2 linked regions of the Caenorhabditis elegans genome follow. The protein of the gene in region 2 interacts with the protein of the main gene of each other region in a pairwise test. Each region holds a gene or a part of one and is shown on either strand. Other genes may lie near its edges.

Evidence for each region. The genes of interacting proteins can lie anywhere in the genome.
Region 1: the proteins of egl-43 (region 2) and taf-9 interact in a two-hybrid assay, tested with the Caenorhabditis elegans proteins (one large-scale study listed by BioGRID).

The regions. Positions count from the first base shown.
Region 1 is NC_003281.10:13,621,801-13,627,949, forward strand, and holds taf-9 (Transcription initiation factor TFIID subunit 9), read left to right. Parts: upstream 1-2,475; 5' UTR 2,476-2,483; coding exon 2,484-2,627; intron 2,628-2,682; coding exon 2,683-2,966; intron 2,967-3,980; coding exon 3,981-4,104; 3' UTR 4,105-4,207; downstream 4,208-6,149. Other genes in the region: hip-1 (STI1 domain-containing protein), read right to left, coding at 1-271, 320-423; mlc-5 (Myosin-2 essential light chain), read left to right, coding at 1,523-1,600, 1,649-1,785, 1,836-1,942, 2,058-2,164; T12D8.5 (uncharacterized protein), read right to left, coding at 4,232-4,525, 4,568-4,616, 4,664-4,728; arrd-17 (Arrestin domain-containing protein 17), read right to left, coding at 5,318-5,417, 6,019-6,149.
Region 2 is NC_003280.10:9,952,371-9,959,639, forward strand, and holds the start of egl-43 (Zinc finger protein egl-43), read left to right. Parts: upstream 1-2,814; 5' UTR 2,815-2,815; coding exon 2,816-2,935; intron 2,936-4,640; exon of another isoform or gene 4,641-4,642; coding exon 4,643-4,744; intron 4,745-4,799; coding exon 4,800-4,930; exon of another isoform or gene 4,931-4,977; intron 4,978-6,217; coding exon 6,218-6,379; intron 6,380-7,269. UniProt on the Caenorhabditis elegans protein: Probable transcription factor, required for migration of the hermaphrodite-specific motor neurons (HSNs) from the tail to the gonad primordium during HSN cell differentiation. Required for phasmid neuron development.

The sequences.
Region 1 (6,149 bases), on a different chromosome or scaffold from region 2:
CGCCTCTTGGGCTTTTCCTCTCTCCTCGGAGGCCTTTTCGATCTCATCCTCGGTGGCTTCTTTGGCAGAGTCTCCCATTGGCAAAGCCACCGCCTCTTCTGGCTCGATGACTCCCTCGTTGTCAATTTTCGGGAATGGAATCTCCTCCGGCTTCGGGATTTCTGGCTCTGGAGTTGCCTCGGCGGCTGGAGTTTCCTTCTTTGGCTCCTCAGACATCGGGCACTTTCCTTCTGGCTTGTCAGCTGGTTTTGGGGGAAGAGTGGCTCCAAGGCTGAAAATGTGGCACATGTTTGAGCTGAATTTGTACTAGAAAACTTACGAAACAAGGTAATCCTTAAAAAATCCAAATTCCGGGGCGTGCAAAACCGCCGGGTTCGCTTGGCACATGCCAACGAATTGCTTGAGCAATGCGACGTGGTCCATTTTCTGGAAGGTAAAAGCTTTGGAGTTTATTTTAAATCATTTAAAGGAATAGGTTAAGAATCAAAAAATAGAGAATTGAAGTGTTTATTCAATTTGTTTGGAAGTGTAAACAATATTGCAAACAGCACGTGATGCCGCCAGAGGTGTTCCGACTACGCAAAGAGGGGATTTAAAGTGAAAAATAGATAAATACCTGATAATTTAGATCAAAAAATTAGAATAACGCCTTTTAAACCAAAAAACTCCTTTGAATTATCGAAAATTCTAGAAATTCTCGAGAAAAATAAATTTCAAAACAGGCATATTCTGTGCATTTGCGCGTGGGATCTAGCGCCCGTTGTGCATTGCGCCATGGCATTTGAAATTGGCGCCCGAAAATTTTTTGTTTTATATCAATTTTTTGGCTTATCGATAATTATCCTTGAAATTCTGCAGAAAAATAGATTTTTCTGTAAAATTTCGCAGGAATTGTATTCAGCACGTAATGTGCATGGTTTCCGTGGCAACTTGGGCGCTCTTTGCTTCTCTGTGCTCTATGCTCATGCCGCAACTCGAAAATTCGAATTTTAATTCTAATTGCCCTCTGTTAACCCTCTTTTTCCCGCCGGATAACCTCCAAACTATTGGTATCTTGTCGATGAATCGGTGAGAAAAAGTTCCGAACAACAAGAATTCGGGATGTTGTTCTTCCTCGCGTCTCCACCATCTCCACACACTCTCACGCGGTTGAACGGACAGTCAGGACACCGCCGCGCGGGGAAACTGCCCGTTTTGGTCGTCTCTTCTGCTGTGTGTGTCTACTATTCAAATAAACTCGCCAATCGATCGCCATTTCAGTTCATGTGCGGTGAATAATGTGTTGTGAAACTCGTTTTTCTCGGGAAATAGCCGAGAAAGGCTGAATTTTTGCTTGAGAATTTCTGGAAGGCATGAAATGTTTTCAGCTCTCTTCGAAAATCTTCTACCGCCCACCCATTTTCCTCCCGAATTGTTTCGTCCCCGTGACTCATTCTCTCTTTTATCGCCAACTTCTCACTCACTGATAATCGATTTTCGTTTTCATCCCGTCTTCTCAATTTTCCAATTTCAGCTGTGAGAAATGGACGATTTGGCTGATTGTCGTGAGGTTTTCGCCTATTTTGACAGCAAAGGCGACGAGCGAATCTCTGTTCAGCAGGTTTTTAATTCAATATTTTACTTTTTTAATCCAAAATTCATATTTCAGGTCGGTGATGTGCTCCGCGCGCTCGGCCAGAACCCAACAGAAGCCGAAATTCACAAATGTGTCGGCTCGTTCGATCGGGAAGCTCGGCTTTCATTCGAGGACTTTGTCCCAATTTTCCAGTCGGTGTCCAAGAATCGGTTCGTGGCGAATTTTCAGTTAATAAATTTCAATTTCTACATAATTTCAGTGAAAAGCACACCGTTGAGGAGTTCGTCGAGGGGTTGTCGCATTTCGACAAGGAGGGAAACGGAATGATCAATGTCGCAGAGCTCCGACACTTGCTCACCACTCTTGGTAGGATTTTGAGTGAATATTATCAAAAAATTAATATATAAGTAGCTTTTCAAAAATGTTCTGCTGGTCTATACAATTTTAAAGTTTACCCCAATTTTATCAATTTTTTTTCAAGGAGAACGCCTATCCGATGAAGACGTCGATCAATTGCTCTCCGGACACAACGATTCTCACGGAAACGTCAATATCTCGGATTTCGTACGCGCTGTCATGAACTCCTAAAAAATAATCGAATTCAGCTGATGTAAATATATCATTTCCATTAATTTCCTCGGCATTTTCCACACAATCTATTTATTTATCGACTTTTTTGCATCCGTTAATTCTATTTCTTATTCGCTCTCTCCCAGTTCACCAAAAAAAACTTGCAACGATTCAGTGAACAACTTTGTATCCTCCGTGTTTTAAGATGAATTTTTCTAAATTTTAATTCTAATTTCATAATTTTTGTATTTCGTGTTACATCTCACATGATATTTCTGTATTTCCTCTCCGTTATTTTTGTGGGGAAATCCATATAATTGCATTTTCAGAAAGAAAAATGGCAGATACAGGAGAAAAAGACACAGAAACGACGGCAAGTGGTACCGATGGACACAGTAAAGAGGCGCTTGCTGTAATAAGCATGCTCCACGAGTGTGGAATTCAAGAGTTTGATCCACGCGTCGTTTCAATGCTTATGGATGTGAGAAAATACAAAATTGAGCTCTAAAAATTCAAAAAATAATGATTTTTTCCAGGTTCAATACGCAGTGACGTCAAAAATCCTCCAAATGTCAAGTGGACTGTCCAGGCATGCTGAAAAAGCGCAAATCGAGGCAGAAGACGTTCAAACGGCGGCCGACATGCTCGGCGTTCTGACCACAAACGCTCCGGACCGTGAGAAGATTCTGCAATTGGCGAATGACAAAAATCAGCAGCCCCTACCGCAAATTCGACACAATTATGGCCTGAAGCTGCCCAACGATCGATTCTGTCAATTACAGCAGAATTTTGTGTACAAAGCTGACGACAGTTATCAGCCGTACGTTTTTTTTCTCGATATATCTTGAAAAATCTGTAAAAATTTGATTTTAAACGGAAAGAAGGTATTTTAAAGTGGAGTACGACCAGTGGGGAAACTATTAAAAACCATTCCTATGGTTCAAAAATGACAAAATAACAATAAAAACTCACAATAGAACTTTTAAAAAAATTATGATACTTTTCCTTTTTTACACCGCATTTTTAAATGAATATTCAAAACATTGAATTATTCAAATTTAATTCTCACGTGAATCATTTTCAGGCTTATGGGGTTATTCAAGTAATGTAGCAAAATGTATTTAAATACATTTGTGACGTCACAAATGTATTTAAATACATGTTTTTATATACTTGAATACAGTTGTGACGTAATTAATCTACACTTTTTAATTTTCCGACACTACTTGAATAACCCCATTAGAAAACAAAATTACAGAAAAAGTTCACATTTTTATCCAAGAAAATGTTCCAGAAAAATGCGGGGTAGAAAAGGAAAAGTACCAAATTTATAGAAGATTTTTTGTTTCAAGTAAAAAAAGGTGTTGTTTGGAGCCACCTTTCGAGAAATCGAAAACACTTTCGCATTTTCGTGCCCCCAAAATAATTAAATATGAATGCATAAGACATGGAATAAGTTTTTTTTAATCGATAACTTCCAAAAACATTTGTTAAAAACTAAGTTTTCACCGCTTTTTGAGCCGAAATATAAATTTTTTCCGAAATTTTCATTCTAAAAATTTACAGAAATTCTATATTTAAACTTGTCGATTTTCAATGCTTTTTGTGGCTACTGTCAGTTTCATTTGAAAAATATTGATTCAAATTTGCATTTTCATCTCAAAAATTGTTTTTTCGAATCAAAAATACAAAACCTTGACACAAAACTAAAAGTCACATATTTTCCGACAATATTCCATTTAGTTATTGTTTTTAAATCTTTATGGCATGCGTTTTTTTTTTCTGTAGTAAAATGAAATTATACATATCAAATTCAAAATTTTCAAGTTTTCAGAATGGAAATGCAACAAGTCACCCATCAGCCACATATCATCGAACCACCAACACAAGTGCTACGGCCGGAGCATGTACAGAATATGCTCAAGCGAAGAGCTCCAGACGATGATTTTGACTCATAACTTTTTAATTTTGTTTTTTTTATGCCATTTTCTACTTTATCTAATCAATCCTGCCAATGATCTCTATGAAACCCAGATTTTTATTTATAAAATTCAAAAATTTACACAATTACAATTCAAAAACAATTCAATTATCCCCTCCACCTGTCACCGCATTTTTCAGCTCACTCGTCGACTCGACAATTTTGTTGGCTGCCATTTTCAAATGATCGTAACGGCTAGCCTTACGCATTGGCGGAACCTGACCAGCTTCCATGTACGTTTCGGGTGCGATTTCCGGAGCATCCACGTGTTTATTGTGCTCGGCGAGCAACTGCTCAGCTCGGTCGATCTCCTGTTTCAAAAGCTCGACGCGTTCTTTGTTGGATTGCGTCTCGCTTTCGATTCGGCATTGCTCCTTGCAGAGGTCGTATTCGGAGAGCTTCAATATATCCAAGTTTTTGGCTAAAAATTCAAATCCTACCTGCTTCTGGGGCGGCACCACCTTCTGCACGTAGATAACCTTCTGTGCCCTGAAAAATCGATAAAGATGGAAAAATCAACCAATAAACTGGCTCACTTTGGTTTTTTCGACTCTCCGAGGCTACATACGGCTAGCAGAAAAACTGCGAGAAGGAATTTCATTCTGAAAAACGACACGAATTAAGTTTTAGCATTTAAAACCCCGAAGAACTTTCCAAGTTGAAAACAGTATGAAAAAGTAGGTCTCTCAGTGTAGGCATGAAAATGCTTGCCTGCCTCGTGTCTACTGTCAAAATACATGTAATTAGAAAGTAAAATTAGAAACGCGTAAATCTATGCAAACACCGGACACTTAATCATCACAGAAATCAGACTATAGGCAGGCAGGCAGGCATTGAAGCTCACTCACGAAAACTTTAAAAAGTTGAATGAAACTTATCTCCTCACACCCTATTTATAGATAAAAATGCAAAACAACAAGCACCAAAAACCGTATGACCGTCACCAATTGACGCAAACCGACAAGACATTGTGTGCTCTGAGAAGACGCAGACCTCACCACGGGGTTCAGGTGATAAGGCTTTTTAGGGAATTGTTTGTGATAGTGAATTAGGGAATCAGAAAATATGTTTTTTAAACTTGTTTTTTAAAAAAAATCTGAATCGAAAGTGCAACAAAATTTGAAAAAGCATGGAATTTATTGATTATCCCCTCCAAGCGAAAGTAACACTCGAGACAAAATGATAAAATATTAATCGGTATAAAATGGATATTTGGGCGCAAATGAGGCTTCACCGAACTGTGCTTGCTCCTTCTCCTCTGATATGTCACTGGCGCCGAAGAATGATTCTCTGAAAAATTTCAGGGAATTTGTAAAAACTATAAAAATTTTAAAAACTAAAAAATTGCGTATTGCGCAACATATTTGACGCGCAAAATATCTCGTAGCGAAAACTACAGTAATTTTTTAAATTACTACTGTAGCGCTTGTGTCGATTTACGGACTCGATTTTCGGAATAAATTAAAATCAAGCAAAAATGAGAAAATAATACGAAGAAACGAAGGAAAATGGAATATCTCTGACATTAAATATTTGTAAAAAAATTCATTTAGACAATCAAGCCCGTAAATCGACACAAGCGCTACAGTAGTCATTCAAAGAATTACTGTAGTTTTCGCTACAAGATATTTTGCGCGTCAAATGTACGCATTCCCTGAGTTTTGTGTTCCCGTAATAGAAGTAAAAAATTGTGGCAGCATATTTTTTTTCCTAAAAGGATAGTGCAATAGCTGCCAGTCTGGAGTATCAGTATGCGCGTAAGATCTGGCGAAAATGCGCGTAAGATATGGCGAAAATTCTCATCTTTAGACGTCTACGTAATACCAGAAAATCGAAAAATGAAAGTTTAAGTCCCCAATTTTAAAGCACCTAAGTTTTTGCCCGAACTCACTTATAATACGGGCTCGGCATTGTTGGATACAGCTCGCTGAGGATCGAGGAGGGCATTCGTACTCGTTTTCGAGCTGACAATAAGGCTTCCATTTCGTTGCCGAGTTCCTCCACCAGCTGACCACTCTCATC
Region 2 (7,269 bases):
TAGCACGTATTTTGTTAATTGGCACTTTTTTATAAAAGCAAAAAGAACCGAGATATACGCTGCCAAAATAGAACTAAGGCGGTGCAGGTATTTTTTGGAAAATACGGTAGGTAACTATTTGAAAAAAAAAATTATTTTCAGACTGTCCCATCATATTAGAACCTGAAAGTCAACTTTTCACAAAACCATTGTTTATTTGTCTCAGTTTCATCAATCCATTCCGTACCTGGAGATGAATTGTTCTCTTCCACCTTTTTTCTCCTCTCCCCCTATTCAGTGTCCACCTTCCTCACTCCAAGTGCCTGAGAGCAGCAAAACCTGCTCCTCCTCTGTGTTAGCCTACACCATCCAGATTGCCACTACAGAGACAGACACACATGGGAAAAGCACAGCTTCTTCTTCTTCTTCTTTTTTCTACATCGTTTTCCTTCATATTCATGCTCAACTGAGCTCATCATTACCTTTCCCATCGGTTCGCAACCACGCCTCTCTTTTGCTTCTTCCTCTTCTTCCGGAGCAGCGACTGGGTGCCTCTTTAAAATCTCCGTAAAATGGACGTCTAAATGCTTTCAAGTGTGAAAGTGACTTCGAGACTTTTAGGTTTGGGTAGATGGCAGTAAATAATGTCATCTGATGCGTCATCCTACCTTTTTGCTACCCTCTAGATTTTACTATTAATAGGCTTAAAAATGCCGCCTTCGCGTGTGCATACCACCAAATATATAGATCTATTTCCACTTCAAATAGCTCTGTTGTCTTTGGTTTTCTTTAAAAATTGTCAACTAACAAAAAACATGCAAAATTACTATATTTTAGTAGTTAAAAAAATAACCGCCAAAATATGGTGATGGGGGTGCACGTCTAATAAGGAAAATACGGTAAGCGTAACTTTGTGAACTTCAAGCACCGAACTTCACGTTAAAATTCAAAAGAATAGACAGTAGGCAGCCTACCTTTTGGAAAATTCTCTGGAAAAATCGTCTTCACAAAATTTCCAAACTATCTGATAACACTCATTCGATGGGAAATTGTCACTTACGCGAGGTTTTTTTTGCCTCCGATTCAGAAAAAAAGTTCCATTTTTTGTTATCATATCATTATTATCAGTTCTAATGGCACATCATGTGTCAAGTGATGAGCACCATAACTTTAAATTTTCAAGGTTTTCGAAATATTTTACTCTTGTTCAACAATTCTTCATTTCAAAATGTGACCGTTTTCTTTCTACACTTATGACACTTTTAATACTGTATCACTTGAATGTCTCTAACTTTTTTTCCATTTTCCTCACAACTTTTCCATTCTTCTATTTTTCTGTAGAATGGACGAGCCCACCTTTTATTACTCCTATATAAAAGCTCTTCTCGGTGCGCTCACCTGGAGCTATGAGGAGAAGAAAAACGGAAAGAATAGAAGAAAAGAAGCGGCAATTTTGTCCCGTCCCTTCTTCCAAAAAGATGAGGACCATGAAGAAGAAAAGCGCAGCACATCCGTCAGAAGAAGACCACAATTGGTGGAGGGGCACACCTCTACTTTAAAATAGCTCCCATTTGCTCGCTTTTACTGGAAACTCTGGGGTCACTGATTTTTTGGATGGTTCTAGACTGTCCTCAAATGTATAATTTCAAAGCTGCGGCAAACTGCTACACCCTGTTGTATTTTCCGTCCAGCAATTTACTTCCAAAAATTCAAACTAAGTCAATAGTTGTTATAGTTTTTAAGTTGGTCTTTGATTATTGAGCAGTTCGGTAAACTCGCAGCCGACCTCGATGGAGTCTCGCGATAGCCTACTCCTGGAAAAAACGTTTGTCTTCTGCTTTCACCTCATGATATCAGGAAACTTATTACAGACATTCAGCCGACAAATAAACGGCTTGGCTTCTACTAGAAATGCTCAATAGATTCTAATTTAGTAGGTGTAGATATTTTCACTTTTGTTTATTTTTCTAAGTATCGAAGTACATATGTTAGAAAGTAAATAAAAATTGCTATTCTACTTTAAGAATTTTCTATATTAAAATAGTCTTTAGTAACGTGGGGTTTTCGAAACTTGCAACTTTTCAAGTGAAGATGCTCCTCACCTGAAGCATCCTGTCACTCTACCGATTGGCTGATGGGCGTGTCGTCTTCCATCTCTTCCACCCGCCCACTTTTTGAGACAGGAGAGGCTCTCGCTCCTCTCGCATCCACAAATGGAAGGCGCCTCTTTCCATCTTCCTTTCTTTTTTTTCTGGTTAGTTGAAGTATCCTTAAAGTATCTTGACGTTTTTACTATATATGACTTCTGGAGAGACATTCGAGTTTTTGGATCAAATATAGAATGTCAAATTTTGAAGAGCAATCTTCTCATATGTCAATTTTTCAATAAAATTGTATCCTACATTGTGGTGGTGTAGAACCCTCAAAAAATAATCTCTAAATTAAGAATTTCTTGATTTTAAAACTGACTAGCAAATTTGTCATGAAAAATCTCAAACGAATTTCCTACAGTTCATCTACCAAATGAATTGGGCTTGTAAACTTTTTCACCATCTACTAAAAAATTCAATAAAATAATAATCTCTTCCCAAACTACACCTCCCTCCAATATCTCTCAGCTTACTCCTAACTCCTATCCCAAATTCGTACATCTACCGTACCATTCCTCCTCCCTGTTCGTTCTCAATGACAAAGCCAGCCTTGAACAGCCATATCCAACTTTTTCGTTGCATTGTTCTCGTTCACAAGATGTATTACTCATCTTTCGCCCCAAAACTGTTCTTGTAATTTGTACAGTTCTTGTTTCTTCCCACGTACAGTTTCCTAAGTTTTCAGGATGAGCATCGACACAGACTTCCTCACGAGTGTTGAGGTAAAGGAGGATGAGCTACATGGAAATGTGCTCATTGCAGTAACTCAAATTGCACTCGGAAGGACCATCGGTGTGATTGATAAGGTGAGCTTTTGGTGTACAATTTTTACGCCGTAGACATTGTCTTAGAGGTGTCCGCTAGAAAAAGAAGTATAAGCTTATTCCCGGGCGTCTAAAAAACTCCACCGGAAAAAATACAGGTCGCTTGAACTGAAATATCTTATAGCTTGAGTAACCTATGAAATAAGCTTTCAGATGTTACACTCATATTTTGTTAGTTAGTAGTTATATGATAACAGTAATTTTAGGTTGTAATTGATAAAATAATGACTTTTTTAAATTAACAAAACTTTTTTTAAAATATTTTTACAAGCATTTTAAATTGATACCTTGGTGCCTAATCTACCTAATCTACAGTACCTTCGCCAACATTTTCAAATCCTTTCCTAATGATTCAACGTTCGAATTACAAATTCTTCCCAGAACCCAAAACCGCAATTATCGGGACCCTGAAATGTTTGGCGCCATGTGTTCCTCCCTGCTTCTTCTCCTCAAAAATTCCTTACACCTGTCTTTCCACCTTTCCCGCTCCCCCCGTCCATTACCACTTTGTTAACCTTGGGGGCACACTAGTAACCATTACATTAGGATTTACAAATCGGAACACCTGGTGCCTTGGTGGATGGGGGATCCGAGATGGGAAAAGAGACTCGATGATCGACTGTAATTGATGAATACAGTCGCTGATGGGAAAATGGATAATTGCTAGGTTTCCATAGGAAGAAGAATTTGAGGAGCTCTATCAATAAAGGAGAGGGATTGAATCCGTTGATCAAGCCGTCAATTTCCTACTGTAGCTGTCGTCGTTATCCAACTTCGTCACAATTCCATCATTGAATTAGTGTATTTCCCCCAGTTGTTTATCATCTAGAGCCGGCGACGGGTCTCTCACACTGATTGGCTTATCACGCACGCACACCACATCAAGCGGCAGTCACTCAGAATCAGAAGCCACTGAAGAAAAAGTTCATCATCTTTTGCGAGAGAGCCACTGATTGCTTATGGTTGCTTGGTGAAGGCAAACCACCTGCTCTCACAGTGGGAAAATTAGATTCCAGAAGCGATAGAGAGAGCGACAGCTCCTGCTTCTTCTTATTAGATATTGATGGGTTTTTGGGCTGAAGCTCACGGAGCACAGAGAGTGGTGAGTTGGCCGAAATGAAATAAGATTTTTTCGAGAATGAGTTTAGAATGTGTGCGATTTGTGAAATAATTGAGGGAGGAAACCCAGTACGCCCAACAAAACCCTTGTTGAGGTACTAAACTGTTTCTGCGAAGATCTGTGGGAAAATATACAGAGATTGCAGGAAAAATAATGCAGTCTTGTAACTGGTGTCACACGGTGTGACGCGCGTGACGTCATCTTTTTCCAGTCCGCAATATATCAAATGAAGTGAAAACTTAAAATTTGGATATGCAGTTTTGAAGAACGCATCGCCAAATACAGGGATTCTTGAAACTTTAATTTTTTATAACTATTCGTGTCCATTTTTTGTAAAATTAAGTCCGAAGAGACATCACCGTTGTCTTACAAGCGGTCATAGAGAAACCTACCCAGCGTGCCAATCGTTTCTTTAATCCATGTTATCACGAGGCCGTCGAAGGTCACCTTTCAGGCAGGCATACATTTTTTTACTACGATTTATGTAGATCCTAGATTCTACACTCATCATTTAGAAAAAGTACTAAAAACAATCACTTACATTAATTTTATAAATATTATTATTTTAGGCTACACCGAATGATTCGAATGCTCTTCTCATCTTGAACCTGATTAAGGAAGCTGATGACGGAGAAGATGCCAATATTTGTATGAGGCAGGAGGATAGAAAGGTGATTATTAGATAAATTTAATGAGGAAGTTATCTAACTATAAGAAAAATTTCAGACTTTTCTACAAACCAGTAAGATTATCAATATTGGAGAGCGTCTTCTTCTACAAAGACTGTCCGAAGAGGAGTGTGATGAGGAGGATCAGGATGATCTTGAGAATTTAATTTTGTTAAAAGATGAAGATCGGTGAGTATGACCCTTGAAAGAAACAAGAAAAAGAGCATGCTAAAAAGGTATGATTTTTCTCACCTTTGAAATTGGAACGATAACTGAACAAGTTGCAAAAACTGTAATTTTCCGGAATTTTTTCTATGATTTGAAGTTCTGTGTTGCTATACATAGAAGGATGTTTGAATTACACATAAAACAATTTCTAAAAAGCAGATTGAGTATACCTTTAATTTTTGAGTTGTTGAGATCAGCGTTAAAAAATTTCAAACCGGTTTTGTCGGTCTTACACAGGCGAATATTCGAAAATAAATCTCGATTTCTAACGGAAAAGTAACGGAAGAAAGATGTGAATCTTCATGAAAATCTTCTGTCATTTTCTTCTCATCGTCCTACTTTCTAACTCCCGTCGTTTTCTCGATAGTTTTCACTGGCGCGGTGAAAGTAACGGATTTCCGATAAGAGCACATCCTTCAGCATCTCCAAGTGAAGCCCGCCCGCTTTTTTTGTGTCCCGTTCATTTACATATAGATTCTACCGCTTCTGGATGACAAATTCGTGTCGGTTTCCGGAGGAGCCCTTTTTTGGGTATTTGAGCCCCTCAAAGGAAATCGTTGATTTATTTTGAGGGGTGTGCATCGGGGGAAGGAAGCGGATCTAGATTTTGCATCTTTTTTGAGAATCAATCGTTTTTTTTGCGGAAAATATAAATTTTTATCTTTTTTTCCGAAATCTTTATATCGCTAACTTAATTTGTGTTATTACCATCTTTTCTATGTTTCTTAAATTTTTAGACGATGATTCCTTGGTATCCCAAAAGTTTAGGTTTCAATTTTTACGTTAGACCTTGAACTTGCCCGATTAGATTTGAAAAGTTTGGGTTAATTTTAATATTTAATAGATTTTTCTAAATCGTTATTCGTATCAAACTATCTAGACATTGCACTTTACACTAGAAAGAATAACACAAAATTCAACTATCAAGTTTATGAAAAAGCTAAAAATTAAAATGAAAACATATTTTTATTTTAGTCATGAACTTTCATTATTCACCACATTAAAAAAGAGTTCTGTAAATTTTAAGAACAAAAATTGAAACTACGGAATATTCAAAAAAACATAACTTCATGCGTGTTTACATTTTTTGATAAAGCCAATAACATCCAAGATTCCAAAACTGCCTAACTTAAAAAGCGAGTAGCCAAACTAATTGTGTTATACGGTTTTGCTATATGATAGTATTAAAAACGTATTATATTTTTTGAGGCACTGTTTTTTAACCTTTCGAAAATCAACCATTTTCAGGCCGGACAGTACTCAAAGCTGCACAAAGAGCAGCAGTGAAGACAGCAATCTAAACGGTTTCGAGGAGTATATTCGAGAACACGGCGAACTTGTACCTGGTCAAACGCCTCCCGACGGATCACACAAGTGTGGAGTTTGTCCAAAGAGTTTTTCAAGTGCAAGGTGAGTTCGTTGAAAAAAAAAGTCGGAAAAGTTATTGGCAAGGTATATCATGCTAATGCACTCTCTCAACTGTTGTATTTTAGCAGGTGTTTGAAAGTGTTTTGTCTATTTATGCGTCTCTGTTTGTATGTTTTCATACCGTAGTCACCCTTCTCTATTCCATTAGAGGGAGGATCATTTGTGGCATAGAGACACGGAGCCCTCTATTTGCTCATCATTTTCCCGCCTTCCTCTTGAAGAAGTGGAAGGAGAAGCTCTTCTATGCTCAGGTAGAATGCTTGAAACCAGTGCTCCAGAGACTCAGGAAATTGGATCCAGGGAGGAAATGAAGATATTCTGGAGAAGTGGCTTCTTCATAATATATATTTTCTTTGTCTTGCATTTCCTAAGATATGAGAACCCGTTTACAGAGTCCTTTTATAGAATTTTGGTTTTTATAATAGAGATGTATGGAAACCGGGCAAAGTTAATTAGGATTCTTACAGCCAACAAGAAAATTTTAAGATAAGTAACGACCAAAACTTGAGCGGAGTTGAAAGTTCAGTGCATTACAATTGAAGTTTTTATTTATTATTTATTTATCTTGGGCTAGAATAGATGGAGCATCTTCACAGGACTGGACTTATATAATGGCTATCTGCCTGCCTGCCTACCTGCCTTTCGTTTTATTTATACTGTATTTGCGCAATATAAACTCATGCATTTCTATTTGTTAGAAGTTAAAAAAAACAATATTTAGAAAACGTTCACATGTACTTTGATAGTTGGCTCGCATGTTGGCAGAAGGCAGGCACAGGGAACCCTGAAGGCACTTAGGCAGGTTCGCTGGACAAAATACCTGCTGATTGTGCTGATTTATTTTCACTAATATAATCAGATATGAAACATGG